Linked DNA regions of Yarrowia lipolytica. The protein of the gene in region 2 purifies or fractionates together with the protein of the main gene of each other region. This does not show direct contact. Links are inferred from orthologs where the notes say so. Each region holds a gene or a part of one and is shown on either strand. Other genes may lie near its edges.

What was found. Proteins that work in one complex are often made in the same cells at the same time.
Region 1: the proteins of YALI1_A13046g (region 2) and YALI1_D06638g purify together in Saccharomyces cerevisiae (affinity purification with mass spectrometry; 6 studies listed by BioGRID, with this or other methods). This does not show direct contact. The link is inferred for Yarrowia lipolytica from reciprocal best matches to the Saccharomyces cerevisiae genes TRZ1 and NUC1.

What each region holds. Positions count from the first base shown.
Region 1 is NC_090773.1:662,095-665,316, reverse strand, and holds YALI1_D06638g (uncharacterized protein), read right to left. Parts: upstream 1,497-3,222; coding exon 549-1,496; downstream 1-548. Other genes in the region: YALI1_D06665g (uncharacterized protein), read left to right, coding at 1-163; YALI1_D06572g (uncharacterized protein), read right to left, coding at 3,181-3,222. UniProt on the Saccharomyces cerevisiae protein: This enzyme has both RNase and DNase activity.
Region 2 is NC_090770.1:1,303,034-1,307,658, reverse strand, and holds YALI1_A13046g (uncharacterized protein), read right to left. Parts: upstream 3,069-4,625; coding exon 621-3,068; downstream 1-620. Other genes in the region: YALI1_A13095g (uncharacterized protein), read left to right, coding at 1-232; YALI1_A13041g (uncharacterized protein), read left to right, coding at 3,517-4,002; YALI1_A13019g (uncharacterized protein), read right to left, coding at 4,610-4,625. UniProt on the Saccharomyces cerevisiae protein: Zinc phosphodiesterase, which displays some tRNA 3'-processing endonuclease activity. Probably involved in tRNA maturation, by removing a 3'-trailer from precursor tRNA.

The DNA.
Region 1 (3,222 bases), on a different chromosome or scaffold from region 2:
CCTGTACTTCTGCGGCAACCAGGACGAGTTCCAGACCAGTGTTGTCAAGCATGACGGAGTGTCAGTGCGTCTGGTGGCAGTTCCGCGGTTTGATGAGACGGGAGAGGTGGTACTGGTGAACATGCGAACATTGAAGGCAGAGGTGCTGAGGATTGTCGCCTAGCTGGAGAGCGGAGCTCAACGTAGCGAGGGTAGGCAGCAGCACTACGAAGTAGGGGGTTTCGATGAGCGCTTCTAACTCTCGCTCTCAACAGATACATGCCATGTTCTCAGCAATTGTCGCTGGGACTCTTGACAAACTACCTCTTGTAGTGGGGACTACAAGTAGTTAGGAACTAATATATTGCACTTGCATGGCTTTATGATCGTAGCACAAGTGAGAGGTGGTTGGACAGTGTAGCGTATGAAGCCATCTTCTACGAGCTCTAGGGCACATTTCCCCCGTTATCACACAAGTAATAGTTCCAGTTCTTCCGAAACATCGAGTATGACTCAACACAGCGACCATGATGATATATGTTCTACACTCTTTGACTATATACAGTAGGCTACTTTTCAGGGGCGGGAAGAGCCAGCAACCCGTTAGGGGCAGGGAGGGCCTTGGTAAAGTCTCGTACGACAATGGAGCAGTCGACTTCTCGACACAGGTCCTTCTGCTTGACGGTGATCTTGTTGAGGAACTCGACTCCGGTGGACCGCTCAATGGCATCCACGGGGGTCTGAAACGAGGTAAGCTTGGTCTCGTTGGGAATCACGTCGTTAGGGAGCACAAAGGCAGCAACAGCCACGTCACTGGTTCCGGGATTCTTGACGGGCTTCTCGGCCAGCACAATCTTGAAAAAGTGTGTGGGGACAGCCACGTTGGGGGGGTTACCAATCACCTCGTACGACACTCGGTACTTGCCATCGGGGTACTTCTTAGGCAGGTACAGCGGTCCGGTCACAATGTACACGCTGCCGTACTGCTTGGTCAGCCGTCGGCAAAAGTCCTCCAGGTGGGCCCAGTAGTCTCTGTTGAATCCGTCTCCGACCTGGGGGGCAATGTTGGTCAGGAAGAAGGTCTCGTCCATGGCCTTCTGGGAGAACTTTGCGTCAGCTGCGGGTGCCTGGTGGCCTCGATCGTAGCCCGATCGGAAGTAGTCGGCCAGCCGAGCCCGGAACTTGAGCGGCACCTCCTGATCTTCCTTGAAGTTGGAGAACTTTCGATCCGGGGCTCCCTCGCCCTTGTTGGACTTGATGGAGTCCGGGGTGATGTGTTCCACGACCCACATGGGGTTACGTCGTTCTCGGTCGTAGCACGACACAAACTCCTGTCGGTAGGCAATGTCGTGGGCTGCTCCGGGGAAGCCGTACTTGAAGAACTCCCCTGGCTTGACTGGAACCGCCGGGGTTGAGCCGTTGAACACGTCGAGAGACGCTCTGGGCGAGTCCGCCCACAGATGGGCCGCCAGACCGGTGCCGGCAATAGCTGCGATGGAAGCTGCGATTTTGGACATGTCGAAAGAGAGTACTGTACCGTGCTGAGGCTGTAGTCTGAGATCAAGGGTTTATGTACAGCCAAAGTTTGATCGTAGAGTTTGGGCGCGTCTTGAGCATCTGATAGGCGTTAATTTAAAGAGGATCAGAGACGGGGGACCTGGGGTCTAGTGATGGATACAAGAATGAATGGTGATGTGACCACCTGGTACAGTCCGAGTGCCAGCTCTCATTAGGTGGACAAGCCAATTGGAAGACAGAGATACAACGCGTGGATCTGACCAGTGGTGATGAGAGTGAGAGTTTTACAGTATGACGAAACCAGTTAGTGCAATACGTGACTGCCTGCAAGTTCATTTTGACCTCCACAATAATTTGTACGTGCAATCTCACTTTGACGAGATTCTGCTGGTTCTTGACCTCTCTTGTAAGTCGTCTAAAGTTGACTTCTCGGTACTTGTACCTGCTATATGAGTAAGCTGTTATACTGTAGATGTGCACGAATCAGGGGTGCAGCGTTCAAGCACCGTGAGACGTGAAGTGCAAGGCAAAGGGGACCAGACCTGTGACTTGACGAAGAACAATTGCAATTTACGCATGTTAACCGCTATTTATTTCTAATTCTAGTCACTGGTTGCTTCCTGGTTGTCTTTTTTTCGATTCTCGTCAAACTCAAGTACAAGCCCAACTAATTTTCACCCCTTCCCCAGTCATATACTTGTACATGCAGAAAAAAATAATACTGTACTTGTACTTGTATAATTCTGTAAATCAGAATTCACAGTTCGCATCTAATAAAACCCCTGAATGATGCACTCTACAGCAAAAATACCTGGTACTGTATTTTCAATAGCCATAAATGACCATTGGTACTTGTACGGTCATAGCATCATACTCTACTCATAAGCGGAGCTCGTATCTAACGAAATACTTTCTGCCCAGTGACCAAACTTAATACGAGTAGGAGTGCTTGGGACCCCGTACAAGTTCTGTAATTTCCCTCTCAAAAACACGAAAAGTGAGCAAATAATCCTCACACTACTCAGCCTACCAGTCCCATGTCACTAATAACACAGCAACTACCCCCTGTAATCCTATATCTAACATACAAGAACCACACACCGCGTTCAACACACTCGGACCCTTCAACATCCACCGAAAGATCATCTGAACCGGACAACATGACCAACCTGGTATTCGTACTGTGGCCCGATGTAACAAATAAAAAACACGCCACAACGAGACATTAAGAGAATAACAAAACAATCAACTCTTTCCTCCGGTCATTCGACAAGAGTTTCTAGCTGAAATCCCCTCCAATTTCAACTAGAAACTCAAATACCAATAAGGTCAAAAAAATGGCAATTAATTCGTCTCGCGCGGGAATTAGTGGTGTAAATCGACAGGCTAGATTCATGCACACTTTCAACCTTATTTAAAATTCTATTCAACATATACTCTGTTAAAAAAGTCAAATGACGTGTGCAATGCAGTCCTGCATGCTTACAGTCGGGAACGGAGCTGAGCTTAATTTGTGCCTGCCACTCATTCAAAATTGCAGACACGCAAAACAGAGAGACCTGTCGCAATATTTTACCACACTCATCGTAAATTCATATTTTAAAAAATTGTTAATGCCATCGTACATAGTTCTATCTTTCTACTGTACTGTTAGTGACCAACTGCCACTCACTCCTACTCTACTTATGCGAAGGACTTGAGCTGAATCTGAGGCTCCTCATATTC
Region 2 (4,625 bases):
TCCATCCAGATACGGAAGTGTGGAGGCAAGCCGGCCTGCCAAGCGACTCAGGTCCCATGCATTCCCTTGGGACTCTGACGACCTCATAGATCGTCTCCGACCCGACGGGCCCAAAGACAACAGTCCTGAAGAACGTCCTGAAGAACGTCCTGAAGCAGACTTAGTCTGGGGCAACCGTAGCACCCTCTACCAGTCTTACTTTGGCAAAACTACGGATAAACCCAACAGGTAAAGACTCCTGGCGGGACTCTTAAACAGTGTCATGGCACTATTCTCGCAACGAGAAAGACGAGTTCCGAAACGGAGACGCTGTGGTATTCTACAGGAACTCTCAGTCGGAGAAACCATTTGACTAAGCTTGTGGTAGAAATGCTTTTTTTTTTTTTTTTTTTTTTTTTTTTTTTTTTGTTTTTCTCGTGTCGTCTTGAACTCGACTGTCGCAAAAGAACGCGAGACACAGAACTGATGCTATGCAATCCCAAGATTACCACTTAATCCTCAACACATTCAGCATCCACTTGAAATAACAAAGTGGCTGTTTCCGTTTCGCCTGTATGTAAAAATATCTTTTCACTCGATATGACCGTCTAATTCTCTCTATGTTCATTTTTCCTCCACTTTTACCATGCAGGAACATCGTCGGCCTCGCCCCGCTCTCCATCCTCCAGAGCCTTGGCAATGGCGTCAAAATGGTCGGCCTGTTCGGCAATCTCGCCCAGTCTTATCCGCATCATATCGAACGCAATGGCCACTGGCACCTTTTGTAGATCCTTCGTCTCCAGAGTCAACGCCGAAAGCTCAGGCAACTTGGGATACCGCTGTGAAAAGTGTGTGAGAACGACATGCTTGGCTTCCATGTCTTTGCACACCCCCAGAGCCTCCGAAAAGGTACAATGTTTCTTAAGGATAGCCTCCTCGGGAAGATCGTTGTTCAAAGTAGCCTCGTGAATGACCAGGTCGCAGTCTCGGGCCATCTCCGAAAAGGCCTCGATGGGTCTCGTGTCACCAGAGTATGCAACGTTGAATGTCTCGCTGTCATCGAGCTGAAAGCCGAACTCGACACAGAAAGACTGCTCGCAGTGGTGAGCCCAGCACGTCTTAATCGAGGTCAGACCAGGAACCTCGGGCAAGGCAGACATCTTTCTGTGCTTTTCCAAGAATGCCCAGCAACCATAGTACCTGATTCGAGCTTGCATTTCCGGGGTGAAATTAGCACACTCCTCAAGGAACCGCTTGTAAGACTGGGGACCAACCACAGACAGAGTCTCGTCTGGGTTGGCCTTGAGCCACTGTTCGATGAAGGTGGGAGTGCCTAGATGATGGTCGGCGTGAAGATGAGAAATGTAGATCATCTTGATCTCCCGCATAATCTGGAGACAAGCTTCGGGCGAGTACATCCGGGTCAGAGTGCCGTAGGTGCCCTCTCCACAGTCCATAACAACTCCAGTGAAAGAGCCGTCAGCTCGGGGAACTCGCATGATCAGTCCAGCCACGTTTCGGTACTTAGAAGGACACGCCGATCCAGTTCCCAGTGTCAGCAGCTCTGCCTTGCACTTGAGAGTACCATCATCGTTTCGAAGCGGTCTGTCGACTGAAGTCTCCTCCGGAGTGTATCCCAACCCTTCATACTCACGTAGACCACTGTTGACGACCCGAGAAGTGTTTGTGGTGTTTTCAATAGACACAGCGTCACCCTGGGTCAAGAGGCGCATGTTGAATCGATTCTGGATGGTCTCATCTGCCAAGAAATCTGCCTTGGGGTCGCTCAGAGTTCGGTAGTCCTTACCATGCAAGGGGAACTGATCTCCCACAATGTTTCGAAGTTTGTAGCACAAACTGGCGGAACCCCGGAAGGTCAGTGCGTGGGGGTCGAGCCAGGGAGCAGAAATGATGTGCATCACGTTGCTGCCTAACGACTCCATCCACTCAAAGTACTTTTCGGGGTCGCTGGCGAAATAGGACTCCATTTCGGGACCGAAAAAGTGGTAGACTGTGGAAACGAAGGGCTCGAGCACATTTGAGACATCGGGAGTCTTGACTTCCTCGTTCATCTCGCCCGAATCGCGCTTCTGACCGGCTCCATACACCGGCTGGGCGTCTCGAGTATTGTATTTACGGGTCCACTCAGGGCAGTTGATGACACCATCAACGTAGCGAGCATCGGGAATGTCGAGAAACAGAATTCGGCCGTAGTTGGAGGGTTCACCAATACACTGCTCGGGCTTGATCACCGATCCGTCCTCCAAAGTCACGTTGTTGCCTGCGATTAACTGCTTGAAGTCGGATCTGGGAACGTTAAGAGCATTTGCAGCCTCGACGTTGAACTTGCCCTTCTTTTGGTGCAACTGAGCAATGTAACAGGTGGATCTCTCGTCCAAATCGACCGCGGGGAGCGCCGTATCCGACTGCTTCTGCAACTCCTTGCGGTTGTATCCGTAGTCTCCGCCTCGCGAGCTGAACATGGTCTTGAGTACCCGGTTGACGTTAGTCCAGGGCGTGTCCCTTCGCAGCGGTTGGAGGTTTCGGGGAGCGAGCTTCTCTCCGTTCTGGTGCTGCTCCTCCTGTTGCAGCCGTGACTCGGTGGGGGTGATGAGAACGCCGCCAATGTTGATCTCGTCGGTCACGTGGCCCTTGGTCATTCTGTCGGTTCGGATCGCCATGGTCTTGTGAAACACAAAGTGTCTCCAGGTGGCGCAGAACCAGTTGACGTTGTGACCACACGATCTCAGGTCCAGATCAGTCTTTCCCATGCCCACCAGAGTCAGCAGGAAGCCGGCAAGACCGGACAAGGTGGACCAGGTGACGGGCCCTGTGAGGTAGATGCCGGACATTTTGTTGACTCGTGGCTTCTGTTCCAGAATCGCTCTCTGGGTTCCTTCTGTGACATGTCCAAACAGAAACTTCTCTCCCTTCATTGTCTGTAGCGTGACTCCCGGCCCCGCCGTATCGGACGAGTAGCTCATGAAGTTGTACAGAGACTGGGTCGACGACAGGTCGGGTAGCACGCCCTTGGCCTTCTTCTCGGCCTTCTTCTTCTGCTTTTGTTCAGCCTGTCTTTGAGCCTTCATGTTGCGACGTTCCAGCTTCGCGCGCGTTAGGCGGGTGGATGTTCTGTATAGAAAAGCAAACGGTCTTGCGGCCGTGCTAGCAGGTTTGACGTTGAGCTTCCAAATTTTGACGGACTTGGAAGAAACCACAACCAGCCGTATGTTTTTGAAAAGTGGTGAGTTCGTGATCTCTCGATAGGGTTCTGAAAAATCTTAGCGGTGGCGCTGGGGCAAAGAAGAAGTGTGGAATTGCGACGGAAAAATATTTCGGACGATATGGGGGTTTATTGGGCCAGCTGAGAGACGTCACGGGTGCTTTTATGGCGAGAATGGCGAGTTTTAAAAAATCGCACAACCGCGGATCGAACCCAACACGCCCCTTTTCACCTACATGAAACTTTCTGCATGATAAATATTTTTGTACATGAGCAGGAAAATTATTTTCTGCTAGCTACTCAACCCGACACAAATGCCTAACAACAACAATATCCACAAGCCCAAGGTGCTGGGCAAGAAGCCCCGGCAGCACAACAAGAACAAGGGCAACTCGTACGTGCGACGAGACGGCAAGGGTGTCGAGCTCAAGTCTAAGATGGTGACCAAGAAGCAGGCCAAGAAGAACTCGAGAAACGCCGACTACATTGTCAGCCGACTGGGCGAGATTGACGTCGACGCCATCCAGGCGGTGGGCAGCCGAAAGCGAGCCAACATCATTGGCAAGATTGCCGAGTCCGTGGACGTGATGACCAACGCTGACGAGGACGAGGACGAGATGGTGGACGACGCCGAGACCAAGACCCAGCTCAAGCGACGTATGGCCCGAGAAGAGCTCGACCGAATCACCTCGACACAGAATCCCATCAAGATGGCTCTTACTGAAGACCCCGATGCCACAGAGATTGCTTTTCAGAGCGGCTCCAAGGGCACCACTCTGGGCGCTCCTCTGGCGGTTTGAGCTGACCGGACGTCTACACACAAAAATTACACAAGGGATATTAGAAAATGGTATTTATGCATTACGTATTGTAGTGGAGGTAAGGAGTAGATCCATTCCAGGAGATAAGTCGGTTCCGAAGAGATGTTTGTATTGTGAACAGTGTGTGGACTGAAACACACAGAGTTGTGATAAAACTACGACATGGCCAATGCGAGTGGGCTAAATGAGTCGACGGGGACTCGGCGTCCTTTCGACTACAGTACAACTTGTGTCAGTTACAAGTACTACTGTAGTATCGAGATACTCTACCCATTCAGCATGTACAGTTCTTGTAGAACAGTCCAACTTTTCCGGTTCTAACATATATAACACTCTAGAACTTTCATAGAGACAGGAGATCGATGTTGCGCCGGAGACGGTTGAGTCGGACCTCGTCAACTCGTCTAATCGTCAACTCGTCTAATCGTCACCTTGTCTAATCGTCATCTCGTCAACCGTCATATCGTCAAGGGTCCAACCTGACCTCATCAACCCATCCACCTCGTTAATATCATATAATTACATCTCTACAGTTAAATAAGTCCAACTTGTTCCTCGCGTGAATCATATCATTATATCTATACAGTTAATTCTTGTCCGAC